2 linked regions of the Stegostoma tigrinum genome follow. The protein of the gene in region 1 interacts with the protein of each later gene in a biochemical or structural test. Links are inferred from orthologs where the notes say so. Each region holds a gene or a part of one and is shown on either strand. Other genes may lie near its edges. The genes, in order: ets2 and zmynd11.

Region 1 (7,216 bases):
AAGGCCTAACAAAGTGTAGAGCTGGATGAACACAGCAGGCCAAGCAGCATGAGAGGAGCAGGAAAACTGATGTTTCGGGCCTAGATCCTTCTTCAGAAATTTCTAGGGGAATACGAACAAGGAAATTCTTATTCATATTTCATATTCTTCCTGCTCCTCTGACGTTACTTGGCCAACTGTGTTCATCCAGCTCTACACCTTGTTATCTCAGATTCTCCTGCATCTGCAGTTCCTACTCTCCTGAACCAAATAAGGACTGCTTGTCATGGCACACGGGAAGAGCTTAGCAAAATTATTGACTCGCTTCCCATGGGAAAAACTGATGCTATATGCCTGAAATCACCAAGTATGGGAAATTGGCACACCCATGGTAGTTGCATAAACTTCTTTGTGTCTGCTGGAGGGAGGGGGCAGTGCCCAGGATATATGTAATACAGAGATTGAGACCCCGAACAATTGCAACAACAAGTGGAATTATGGGAAAAATAATATAAAGGCAAAATACTGTAGTTGTTGGAAATCTGAAGCAAACTCAGAGAAACTCAAGAAACTGCAGAGGTTTGCTAACACCTAAGGAGACAGAAGCAGTGTCAATGGTTTGAGTTCAGCACTACTCCTCTTCAGAACTGGACTATCCATTCGATGAAGTTCAAATAAAGATGGTAGCGGTTGTGGGAGGCCAATCACCTCAGCTCCAGGATATCATTTTCTTTGTTGACTTTGGCTGCCAAAATATCTTGGCTGAACACATCTACTCTAAATCCTATCAGTGATAATGGGAACTGCAGATGCTGGAGAATCCAAGATAATAAAGTGTGGAGCTGGATGAACACAGCAGGCCAAGCAGCATCTCAGGAGCACAAAAGCTGACATTTCGGGCCTAGACCCTTCCAGAACGGGAAAATCTGCAAATGATGTGATCTTCTCAGGCTGCCAGCTTCAAGAGAAGTACTGTGTCTGCAGAACAATTATTTCAGTACAGCCACAACAATAATGTCTACCCAGCAATACGTAAAATTGCTCACATTTGTCTACAAAAAGCAAAATAAATCCAACCCAGCCAAATGATATTCCATCAGACTGCTCTCAAACTTCAGGAAAGTGATAGAAGGAATTGAAGACTGTGCAAACACTGTTTTTGTTCTTGTTCAGCAATATCTTGCTCACTGTCACTCAGTTTAGGTTCCACCAGGGCATATACAGTTACAGCATCAATCCAAACTGGAAGAGAAGAGCTGTAATATGAGAGTGAGCGCATTTCACACTGGGGCAAATTTTGACTGAAAATGGCTTCAAGGTGCCAAAGCAAAAATGATGTTAATGGAAATGAAGAGGGAAAATCTCCATTGGTTGGAGTTGTGATTGTTAAAGGTCAGTCATCTCAGCTCCAGGATATCACTGCAAGAGACCAAAGGACCATAAGATGTAGGAGCAGAATTAGACCATTTGGCCCACTGATTTGGCTCCATTCAATCATGGCTGAAATATTTCACAACCCCATTCATCTGCCTTCTGCGATGGGGAATGTCTCAGTGTAGTGTCCTATACAGAACTATCTTATGCTGCTTCTTCAATGACATTGTTTCCAGCATAAAATTGGGAGTGTAAATGTTTGCTGATTATTGCACAATGTTCAGCACATTTGTGACTCCTTAGGTACTGAAGCAGTCTATGTTCATAAGCAACAGGAACTGGACGGCTTGGGTTGATAAACTGCAAGAGACATTTGCACACATGGGTGCCAGTCCATGATTATCTCCATCTACACAGAATGTCTCCTTAACATTCCATAGCTAAACAATTGCTGAATGTCCCATTGTCAACATCCTGAAGAATGATCGAGATTTGAAGTGGAATGGTCATATAAACACTATGGCTAAAAGGCCAGATCAGAGGTTAGCAAGTCTGCAGTTGTTAAATCACTTTCTGTATCCCCAAGGTTTTTTCACTACTTACTAACATAAAGTTCAGGAGTGTGATGGAATATTTTCCATTTGCCTGGGTTGATGCAGCTCCAACAACACTCAAGAAGTCACTTCATGCTGAAAACTGCTCATGCATCACAACAGCTACAGCTGTTAAGGGACCTGAATGAGGGAGTGTGAAGCAACTGCAACCTGATTGAGAAGCCCACAATGTGATCCCAGCAGGCCTGTATCCTCAGCACATTGCTCGACAGTGCTGAGACCTAGACAACATATGATAGAAAGGAGAAAACGCTGAACAGTTCCCACCTTTTCCGTCTTGGATGTATACTTGCCATCTGTTGGCAGGGCATGGTTGCCAATCCAGCTGTTCTTGGGTATGCTAATTCAAAGACATAGACACCATTGCTAAGTCAGTGATATCTGAACTGGCTCGGCCATGTTCACCGATGGATGATGGATGTACACTTAAAAGTCCTCCTGTATGTTTTATTGATCAGTGGTCATAACCCTTTGAGCATCCATACCTTCATTGCTAATGAGATACGACTTTGGCTCTGTCAACTGGAGACGGGGACCATGGCCTCACAAAGTTGACTGTATGAAAAGACAGAAAGTTCAATTGGCCAAGAGTCATAGTTTTACAACATGGAAAGAGGTCCTTTGGCCAATTTGTGCTGGTCAAGCACCTATCTACTCCAGCCCATTTTACAGCAGTTAACCCATAGCCTTAGATGCTATGACACTTCAAGTGGTCCCTCTGATATGTCATAATAATTCCCACCTGTATTAATGAGTAACAGTTTCCCTCAGCCCTTTGGGTGAAAATCTTCCTTAAATATCCTTTAAACTTCTCCCAAGAAGGAAAGTTTCTTCCCATTTATGCCACTCATACTTTGCACATCTCAGTCAGATCCCCTCTCAGTTTTATCTGCCCTAAGGATTACAACCCCAGCCTATCTAAGTCTCTGCTAACTGCTGAAATGCACCAGCCTGGGCAATAACCTGGTGAACCTCCTGTCAAGTGCAATTACATCCATCCTACTGTGGGGATCAGAAATACATACAGCACTTCAGCTGTGGCCTACTGTCTTTTCCATCATAACCTCTCTGCCCAGAGACAACTGGGTTCACTGAATTATGTACCTCTTCAGTCCACAGCCTTTCTTTGCAGAACTTGGTCAGAAATCGCACCTCACCAGGTAATAGTCCAAAAGGTTTATCTGAAAACACAAACTTTCAGAGCCTTGGTCCTTCTTTGGGTGTTAGCAAGGCTCTGAAAGCTTGTTATTTCAAATAAACCTGCTGGACTATAATCTAGTGTCATTTAATTTCTGACCAAGTTTTGCAAAGAAAGGCTGCGAACTGAAGAGGTATATAATTCCCTGAACCCCAGATAACAAAGTGTAGAGTTGGATGAACGCAGCAGGCCAAGCAGCATCTTAGGAGCTAAGATGCTGCTTGGCCTGCTGTGTTCATCCAGCTCCACACTTTGTTATCTCAGATTCTCCAGCATCTGCAGTTCCCATTATCTCTCATTCACTGAACCCAGTTGTCTCTGGGCAGGGAGGTTATGATCGAAGAGACACTAGGCCACAGCTGAAGTGCTGTATGTATTTCTGACCTTGTCTATCCCAGTCCAACACCAGCACCTCCACATCATTGCAAAACCTGGGTCAAAGGCTGCTATGCCACAGTTCCTGAGGCTCCTGGGCATGGAAGGTGTCCTGCGTTGCATAATTAGATATATTTTAAATATCACTGTCAATCAAAATGTGCAGAGCTTATAATTCTATCAAAAAATGTCAATTTGTCTGCGGCGTTAGAAACGGACAGCTGATGCAGTCCTACAGGAAGCAGTATTTATCACTTAAGTAAAACAAAGAACTGCGAGTGCTAGAGATCTGAAACACAAATTTAAAATTGCTGGAGAAGCGGCAGCATCTGGCAATTGTCCGAAGGGTCACCGGACTCAAAAGCTATAACTTCGCTTTCTCTGCACGTCTGTCAGTTTCGCCGGCAATTTGTTTATCATTATTGGATACAAAACGGTGAATGGTCATGTGACTGTGCCGGGGGCGGGGGAAGAGTAGAGGGGAAGGGGTGGTTGCGAAGACAGCAGGAAAGGAAAGCAGCCTGATGAGTTAACCTTGTTTGGTGATGGTTCGCTTCTCGGCTCCTCCTCTCCCCCAGAGCAGGTCCAATGAAGAGGAAGTGGCGGGTTGAGAGAGATTGTGGGAATTGATGTAAAAGGCGAGGCTCCCAATATTCATTCAGCAGATTGCCCAAGAGTCTGACCTCAGGCGTATCGGACAGAGGAGCGGGGCGCTGGGAAACTTTACAGTGAAATTCCGCCGCCATAAACGACGCTTCGTGAATCACTATTTTATTGGATCGAACTCACTGATCGTGAGGCTTTGCTGGATTTTAACTGACCCGAGCCCGCGACACGCAAACATAACGCAGGAAGGGATTTATACTGTAAGTACGCAATTTAGGTCTTAGAGATTGTGCAGCTGTGACTGTGGGGCTGACCAAGCTTCAAATATTGTGAAAAGATTTGTTCTTTTCTCTCTCTGACATGAAGGAGACGGTTAGCTTGTTCCTGTTCACTAGTATTTTACAGTCTTTCTGTATTCTGGCCTAAAACAAAGTTTTGATATGCCCAGCCCCGTGCTGCTTGTATGTGGTGCTGCCGGCTGTTAAAAGCATCGCTTGTTACAATAGAACACAGTCGAGTCCAGGTTATCTAGGGCCTTGCTGCGGTGTCACAGAAGTCACGATGCTGTCCTCCATTCAGTACAACCAGCAAGTTGAGAATGCATGAAGACGAAAGATGCAAATAGCGAAGACTTGCGAGGGCACCCAAGGCCTGAGATGTACCATCTTCCCCAGGAGGCCACCCCAGCTGGGGTTGACTCTACAGCGGTGTGGTTTTGAACCTCCCGCTCAGAAAGCGATTCCGTTGAGTTGGAGAATAATGTGGAAAGTTTCAAGCGACAGGAATGTGAGCAATGTCTTCAGGATGGAAATCAATGGAAAAGCTCAGCAGGTCTGACAGCATTTGTGGAGAGAAGCCACAGTTAACTTTTCAGGTCCAGAGCTTATGTGTGGATTTTGGATGAGTGGACCTGTAGTTTGCTATAATACTGCACATTGTTTCACGGAAAATGCCACTGCCTGCAACCTTTGCAGTGGGTGCTACCAACAAGACAAACCTATAATTCCCTCATTTCTATTTATTTATATAAAAATACATCTAAACTGAGATCAAAGTAACATCGTTTTGAGACTTTATGGTCTTTGTGTAATATGTGGGTTGATCTATACACTTGTTATCAGTATCAGTAGGTGTGACAACAGGAAAAATGTCTGCATCTTAAATTAGATGACCTGTGAAAAGGTTTTGCAGGGATTGCAAAAGTGAAGTGAACAAAAGAATTAATTTGCATTTTTACAACCTCCTTCAGCATCCCAGGGTGCCCCAGGTACTTTACTCTCTTAAGTACTTTGGACATACTCAAAGCACTTTTTGAAGAGAATTTAAAGTAATGGGCATCTACAAACAATTAAATCAGTGATGGCTGAAAGGTGCATGTAAACCAAGGCAAATGAGGTACCCTTTTTTTTGTGCTCCTGAGATGCTGCTTGGCCTGCTGTGTTCATCCAGATTCACGCTTTGTTATCTTGGATTCTCCAGCATCTGCAGTTCCCATTATCTCTGATCACCCTTTTTTTAAAAATAGTTCCATAAGAATTTTACATTTACCCGAGAGAGCACTTTAGTATCTCAGCTGAAAGATTGCATCTCCAACACCATAGTACTTGTTTTGTTGCAGTGAAGCGTAAGGCTAGGTTATGAGCTCAGGTCTCTGAGTCGTAAATCTTTTGCTTTGAAAGGCAAAGACACTGCAGTACCACTCAGCTACAACAAGATTGTTGCTGTATTAGAGATAATGGAAACTGCAGATGCTGGAGAATCTGAGATAACAAAGTGTGGAGCTGGATGAACACAGCAGTTGCTGCCTTAGTACCTTGCCCAAAATCCAGAGTCACAACAGGTCTAAAAAATAAGTTTTCAATTTTTCTGTGTACTATGTTACCATTTTTTAAAAAGGTCTATTTTAAGCCATGAGCACTTTGCTGAGTCAAGAAGAAAGGATTACTTAAACCAGTTAGGTGCTACGCTTGCCCTAGCTGGAGAATTAAATGCCCCAGTGTCACTAATGCAGCAGCTAATTTTTTTGATTGATTTTACATCTTTTTTGAAGGTTTATTTTGTTTTGTAAACTTTAATCTGATAAATCCATCAAAGGAGTCAAGGGTGCTGGGTCCTGTAAAGTTTGTTAAAGAGTAAAGCTGTGAAACCTTCTTCTGAAGTCATCAAAGAAGTAGACTTTATAAGTAATTAAGAAACTTTTGCACCCTCCCTCCATCTACAATCTGCTATACTAGGTATTAATCAGAGTGATTGTTTGACAGAGGTTACCTTGACCGGGTGCTTGAATTGTGGGCATATCTATTAAATTTGTCACTGGCAATGAGCTTGCGATACTTTGGCCAGTGGAGTAGGAGCCATATAAATCTAATTAGTAACATGATTAACCTCAGCCATACTTGTTATCAGATAATGTATTCACTTCAAAAGCTGATTATGGAGTCTGAAGAGCAGGGCTGGTGAGATAAGGTGGTATCACTTTATATTGCTTATACCACAGATCTAAAAATTAATGGGGTACATCCTTAATACAGATTACACGTTAAATGTCAGATCTGAAATCTTGATATTTCCTTCCAATTTTTAATTAAACATTAAAAGCATAAATGTACAATATGTCAGTTTGTCTTCCCCCAAGCATGCATTCTCAAAGGATGGCTGGTTTAGTATTTGGCATCTTTCATGTTTGCTTCAGTCAACTAAAGTAATCAGTAAAATCCTGTTACATGTATAACAGTGAGGTGACCACTCCTGCCCTCCACATAACAGTTGTGTAATGCCTGCATGCACCTTTATATGACTGTGCTTTTAGGAAGTGCTGATTACCGTAAAATACTTCTGCTGAGAGGAGGAGAGGCACTGAAGCGAAGCAGTGAATTGAAAGATGAAATAAATGTGGAAGATGTTCCAGTGGAACACAAACGCTAACATGAAGTACTTCGGCCAAATAACAACAGCATGTTTCTGTGCTGAGAATTATAAGTAAAATAATGGATATTTGGAAGAGAACACATTGTGGAGCTGGATGAACACAGCAGGCCAAGCAGCTCTCAGGAGCACAAAAGCTGACGGT
Region 2 (7,196 bases), on another chromosome or scaffold:
GCCAGACCTGCTGAGCTTTTCCAGCAACTTCAGTTATTGTTCCTGATTTACAGCATCTGCAGTTCTTTCAGTTTTTAACATGGAAGCCAATCTTCAGCCAGTGTGATTCACTCCAACACTTCGGCAAATTCTTGTGCTCCAGAACAAATTGCACCCCAAGCCAAAGCTGTTCCAGTGCAATTGCAACACTGGATTCAACCTACTAATGTGGAAAATTGAGATACTGGATCCAACAAACCGATGGGCTCCAGTGGTTCCCATAATTGCTATGCTGAAGAATTGTAATCAAGACCTAGCCAAGACATTTCTGTATAGCTACAGTTGAAAAAGTAAAAACTTGGCTAAGTTTGTACTCCCCAAAAAAATGACCAATCCATTCTGTCCAATTAGTGGCCCTATAGTCATCTCGGAATCTGCGGAGCCTGTCTGCCCACGAGGTACGATTCAGGAGTGTAATGTATTATTCCCACTTGCCTGGATGAGTGCCGCCCCAACACCACTCAAGAAGCTTGATACCATCCACGACAAAGCAACCTGCTTGATTGGCACCACGTCCATAAACATCTACTCCTTCCACCGTGACTCTCAGTAAAAGCAGTGCATATGGTCTACAAGATGCATTGCAGAAATTCACCAAAACTCCTCAAACAGCACCTTCCAAGCCAATGATCAATTCCAATTGCAAACTTTTAGATAATGAAACATTCCCAGTACTTGTCTGACTGTTTCATTCTCTACAATTCATCATCTATTATCATGGACATCCTCCCATTGCAAAGTTGTGTGGAAGACTGCCTAGCCAGAGAGATGAGAAGCCTAAGCCCTCAATAGACCCAACAGAGAGATGTTTTCAGGATCCTCAATGCAAGATATCTGTTTTAACCAAATTGGTGGTATAATGGACAGGGAACGTTATCCAAGATTACAAAGGTACATTGATCAATGGGGCTAAAGGGCTAAGGAGTGGCAGATGGCATTAAATTTGGTTAAATGCAAGGTGTTGCATTTTGGTAAAACAAATAAAGGCAGGACATACACAATAAATGGTAGAGCCCTGGATAATGTTGTCAAACATTGAGACCTACGGGGTTCAGGTAAGAAGTTCTTCAAAAGTTGTGTCACAGGTTGAAGGCAATTAGCATGCTTGCCTTCATTGCTCAGACCATTTAGTTAAAGGAGTCAGGGCATCATGCTGCAGTTGTACAGGACATTGGTGAGGCCACTTTAGGCGTACTGTGCATAGTTCTGGTTGCCCTGCTATAGGAAGGATTTTATTAAATTGGTGAGGGTTCGGAAAAGACTTACTAAGATGTTGCTGGGACTAGAGGGTTTGAGTTATAAAGAGAGACTGGATAGGCTGGGACTTCTTTCAGTGGAGTGCAGGAGGTTGAGGGATGACTCTATAAAGGTTTATAAAATCATGAGGAGCATAGATGAGGTGAATCCCAAAGGTCTTTTCCTTCAGATAGTAGAGTTCAAAGCAAGAGGGCGTATTTATTTAAGGGGAGAGGAGAGATTTGAGATGGACTTGAGGTACAACTTTTTCACACAGAGTATGGCTAGTATGAGGAATGATCTGCCAGAGGAAATAGTAGTTGTAGTTTCAGCTATAACATTTAAAAGACATTTGGACAGGTATATGAATAGAAAAGGTTTCAAGGGATATGGACCAAATGCAAGCGAGACGAGTTTAGTTTAGGAAATTTCATTGCTTGATGAGTTGGATCGAGGGTCTGTTTTTGTGCTGTATGACTCCAAAATATTTACATCTGGACTTGGAAACTACACCTGCTCTGACTCATCATAGCTCCAACAACTATCATCTAGGTTCTACTGCAGACCTGCCATAAAAAGAGATAATAGGAACTGCAGATGTTGGAGAATCTGAGATAACAAGGTGTGGAGCTGAATGAACACAGCAGGCCAAGCAGCCTGCTTCGAAGGTGCTGCTTGGCCTGCTGTGTTCAGCCAGCTCCACACCTTGCCATAAAAAAGGCCCTGATGGGATTAATAGCAATATGCAAATATTTAGATAGTATTTTGCTGGAATAGTGACACTGTCACTGAAGTTATAATTGCAGCATAATTCTCTAGAGATAGGGAGGTGAAAATAAGAGCGAGAGAAGGACAGTGAAGAGGAGGAGGAGAAGAAGGTGGTGTAATGAGCAAAAAGAGGGATCAGTCTGTTCAGTGATAGAGAGGGAACAATATGTTTACTGATGGAGAATGTTCAGTGTCATCAAGATGGACCGGGATCACTGTTTCTGGTGCTGGAGAGGTATCAGTGCATTTGGTGGTGGACAGTGATCAGTACATTTCGAAATCGAGCGTGATCAATGTGTGTGGTGGTGGAGAGGCATCAGTGCATTTGGTGATGGAGATGGATCATTATGTTTAGTAATGCAGAGGGATCAAAAGGGTACAGGGTAGTGGAGAATGAGGGAGGAGACGTGAAGGTGATGCTGGAGGATGAAGACTAGAGAGGGTGAAGGGTGGTTGATGGTGGAGATGAAGAAGAAAGAGAGAGGGTATTGATGGAGATATTTGAGGAGGTGAGCGGTGGTAGAGGAGGTTGAGGAGCAGAGAGGGTGATGATGGTGGAGACAGTGATGATGGTGAGGGAGGAGAGAGGGTCCTTGTGCCAGTGGAGGAGGAGGAGAGAGGGTAGTGTTGTAAGAAAAAGAATAAAGCATATAGTAGGAGCAGAGATGGTGGAGGAAGAGGAAGTGGGAGGGCGATGGTGACGGAGGAAGAAGAGAGAGGGTGCTGGTGAAGAGGAAACAACCTGATGGTAGAGGGGTCAAGGAAGTGACAGGGTGATGGTGGAGGAGGTTGAATGGAGAGTGGTGATGCTAGAGGGGGAGAAGGAGAGACAGAGTGATGGTGGAAGAGGTCAACGAGTGGAGAGGGTGATTGTGGAGGGAGGAGAGAGGGAGATGGTAGTGGAGGAGGAGGAGAGAGGGTGATGTGGTTGGGGGAATTAGAATTATAATAGGTTCATTGTCAAGTGTGATCAAGTACAGGAGCACAGTGAAATGTTTACAGTGTTGCCCCACATGGTGCCATCTTAGGTACTAAGTATCTGGGTGCAAATCTTAGGTACAAAATAGAGAGAGACATAAGAAGGTTACATTACCATACATTAAATCATAGTATAAGTTAGAAAAATAAGGACCAACACTAAAAAGATAAGCTGAAGTTTTTCTATAAAAGGCCTGCAGTAGATCAATGCAGGGAACTTCCACCTGTGACCTGACTGGTCTCACAAGCCGGCGATCACCCACGCTGGTTCCCCAGTCAAACATCTGTCCTTGATCTGGGCACATTGGTTGAGGAGGGGGATGAGCAGGGGAAGATTGTAGTGGTGGTGGTGGAGGAGAGAGGGTGATGTAGAGGGGTTTGAGGAGGAAAGGGTGATGGTGGAGGGTGAGGGGAGAGGGTAATGTGGAGAGGAGGAGGATGAGAGTGTGTGTTGTAGAGGGAGAGGAGAGTGTGAGATGAGGGTGGTAATGGAGGAGGAGAGAGTGGTGTGGAGGAAGAGAGTCAGGGGCTGCTTCTGGTCATGGTGGAGGATGAGAGTGAGGGATGAGCATGACAGTGGAGGAGGAGAGTGAAGGATGAGGGTGGCAGTGAAGGAGGAGAGTGAGGGATGAGGGCGGCAGTGAAGGAGGAGAGTGAGGGGATGGTGCTGGAGGTGGAGGAGGAGAGTGAGGGTGACAGTGGAGAAGAAGAGTGTGGGGTTGGTGCTAGAGGTGGAGGAGGAGAGTGAGGGATGAGGGTGAAAGTGGAGGAGGTGAGTGAATGGCAGGTGCTGGATGAGGAGAGTGAAGGATGAGGGGTGACAATGGAGGAGGAGAGTGAGGGATGAGGGTTAAAGTGGAGGAGGAGAGTGAGGGATAATGGTGAAAGTGGAGGAGGAGTGAGTGGCAGGTGCTGGAGGAGGAGAGTGAGGGATGAGTGTTGACAGTAGAGGAGGAGAGTGAGGGGTTGGTGCTGGAAGTGGAGGAGGAGAGTGAGGTTAGACATGGACAGGAGAAGCACAGTGAGGGATGAGGGTGTTGGGCGGAGGTTTGCCTGCTGCTATTCCGAGCTCTGCCGCTGAGGGGCGTGCGCGGACGGAGGGGCCCCTGTTGTTGATGTGGAGCCGAGTCCGAGGGGGAAGCGAGCGGAGCCCGATACTGACAGGCCCCGCCAGCACCGGGCACAGGGGCCGCGGGAGGAAAGGAACTCCACAGCGGCTCAGCTGCCGGGCGGATCGTCCGGAGATAACCGACCGGGAAGTGGCAGAGGTGAGCAGAACCGGGGTCCAGGATGGAGGGGGGACTCGGAGCCGGGGAGCTCGCTGTATGTGTTGGCGGGTGGGAAACCGGGAACATGGCGGCCCGTCTGCGCCCGGCTGTAGGGGAGGGTGGCCTCGCCTTTCGAGGAGTGAGGAGTTTGGCGGGGGGTGGGTTTACTCCCAAAGCCGGGGAGAGGCTGCAGGCGGTAGCTAGGCCGAGCCGGCCTTCCCCAGTGTGTCTCTGTCTTTGTTTTATTTATTTCACTTCAGACCCTGTGGCCGGGGTTTAATGTTCTCCTCCTCTTGCCGCTGCCGGACACACTTTTCTGTTCGAAGCCCGACTTGTCGGGAGACCAGTGTTTTTTTTATTGTTAGGGAAGATTGTCTCTCCACATCCCCCCCCACCCCCTCCTTCACCTTTTTAAAGGTGGCGATGGGTGGGAAAAGTCAGAAGAAAACCAGACCCCAGGGAACTATGACCATTAATAGGGTTTACGAACACTCTCTCTGGGCTCTGATGGATGGTTGCTCCTTGAACGTTAACCATCATAGTTTCGTAGAGCTGGCCCACCTTTAAATCAACAGTTTAGCCCTGGTGTCTGTATTCATTTGCACAGTCTGTGTGGCAAACGTTGTATTTCAAATTGACTGTTAACTTGTAACACCTTTTCTCACTTCAGTTTTTCCTAATGACTTGGAATGACTGGGGTGGCAATTGTGAAAGCCAGGGGGTCAGTCATTTTCTCTGTGGTCTTGTTTCTTTTTTTTGAGAAAAATCAATGGCCGACGTTGCACTTTTGATAAAGGCAAGTACACTTTAGGTTTTGTAAACGACTGGGAATTTTACAGCAGGCAGTTGATACGTACATATGTGTTTGAAAATCTGTAATGCTTTACATGTGTGACACATGCAGTGGTATTAAATAGTCTGTCAAGCGTGCATAGTATTCCAGAATTAAAATATAGCCTTTGGTTTCTGCTGTGCATTATGGCCTCATAAATTAAAAGGAATGTATCTTGCCTGTAGTTTGGAAGTCTAAGCTACTGTTTTACTTGTTGCTGGTATCTGATCCTGACTTGCATTGGCTTTTAAATCATACTTGTATATAGCAGTTGGTTGTCCCATAATTCTTTTATCTATCTTTACCCCCTCCTGTTTCTCATCTGCATGGTGCTGCTTTGCAGCATCGTCTATCAGGTTTCAAATGTACGTAGGCAGCACCCACCCCTTTCTCCCATGACTCCCCCATTTCTAGTACTGGCAGACTGTTAGTCTGGAGATGAGCAGCATGTAGTGGTCTTGCCAATGATGCTTACATCCCTTGAAAATATTTTAAGTCTGGGCTGAGTTGCACGTTTTTCTAACCTAACCTTAAAATGATCAATACCAGTTTTTATCCAACTACAAACTCTTTCCTTGTCACTGATTTCCTCCTCTTCCCTGGGTGTTTTCTCGGGCCGAAATATAGAACCTCGGCGACCATCTGATTTGAATCAAAGTTGAATTTGTAACTCCATGTCATGTCGATCCAAAACTGCCCCATTCTCTTTCTGATCCTGCCACGGCTGTTGTTACCCTTGCCTGTGCTTTAGTTACCTTCTGTTCTTGGCTTAGCCTACCCTCTTTTGTTTTCTAAAAGATTAAGCTCTCACACTCTATATTCTAGCCTGCAATACGTTCCATTTAATCAAGTAAGTTCTCTGTTTGTTGACCTATATTAGCTCCTAGTTCAGTAACTCCTCAATTTTAAAATTCTCATTCTCTTGTGAAATCCCTTCGGGAAGTAAAACCACCCCGACTTGATTGCAATCCTTCAGAAGCTCGGATTCCTCCAGTTCAGGATTCTGATACATATCCCACTGCTAGTGTGGCTTAACGGCTTGGTCTTCAGCTCTGAAAGTTCTTCCCCAAACCACCCTTCTTTCATCAAGGTTCCCTTTAACCTATCTTTCTAATCAACCTGCTGCTGTTGTTACACACCTCTGGAGCAGTTTAGACTTGAACCCAGGTTTCTTGCTTCAGGGGTAGGGGCACTACTGCTGTGGTGCGAGAGGGCTGCTTCCTGTGTTTTTTAAGTTTAGTCACCTGACCTGTTATCACCTCCTTTGGCGTGGTGTCAATTTTTGTCTGACTGCACTCCTGTGAAGCACTTGGGTTGTTTTCCTGTGTTAAGGGTGTTAGTTAAACAAAAGAAGTTGTTATTATGGATGAGTTTTGCACTCGCCCATTGCCTGACTTGAGTAAAGTATAATCCATTCATATTGAAATTAATAGTGTAATCTCCATCTGTCTCAAGTAGTGGCATTGTATTGACACCAAGTTATTTTATATGCAAGCAAGAGCTGCATACCAAGTGCCCCTGCTTTACCCATCTCACATGAAGTATTGTTGTCAGCCATTCTTGTGAGAGAATTGAGCAGATTCATCCATGCAAATGCACATAGATAAGCCTTTCATGAGAGGTGACCCTGCTGAGAGCATAGAGCGTAAAACAGGTGGTGCCACAAATCCATCATCTTGCATTGAATGTATGTTCACCTGAATTCAACACTTCGTAACCGCGTTCAGAATCATAGTCTTACAGTATAGATTTCTCCATTTCTAGTTATGATTGAGTTTGCTTCCTTGACTTTGCCATCAATATTGATAAGTGCACATATTTTAAAAATTCAGAAGATAATTCCTTATTTTAGCCATCTATTTTACGTGCTTAGGAATTGCAGGATGGGTAAAGATCAAGTCTTATCTAGTTCAGTTACTGTCATCTTCCTATTTGCAGGATAGAACAATTACTGACTGACCGCAGAGTAATCAGTCTTCCTTTCAAGTAGTCTTTGACTGGCCCCAACAAGGAAAACCCCAGTGCTGGAGAGCATTAAGAAATCATAACCTATTCCTCTCAGGCATGGTAGACAT

What was found.
Region 2: the proteins of ets2 (region 1) and zmynd11 form a complex in vitro, tested with the Homo sapiens proteins (2 studies listed by BioGRID). The link is inferred for Stegostoma tigrinum from reciprocal best matches to the Homo sapiens genes ETS2 and ZMYND11.

Annotation. Positions count from the first base shown.
Region 1 is NC_081365.1:18,484,516-18,491,731, forward strand, and holds the start of ets2 (protein C-ets-2), read left to right. Parts: upstream 1-4,046; 5' UTR 4,047-4,406; intron 4,407-7,216. UniProt on the Homo sapiens protein: Transcription factor activating transcription. Binds specifically the DNA GGAA/T core motif (Ets-binding site or EBS) in gene promoters and stimulates transcription.
Region 2 is NC_081355.1:137,701,961-137,709,156, reverse strand, and holds the start of zmynd11 (zinc finger MYND domain-containing protein 11), read left to right. Parts: upstream 1-4,173; 5' UTR 4,174-4,289; intron 4,290-7,196. UniProt on the Homo sapiens protein: Chromatin reader that specifically recognizes and binds histone H3.3 trimethylated at 'Lys-36' (H3.3K36me3) and regulates RNA polymerase II elongation. Does not bind other histone H3 subtypes (H3.1 or H3.2).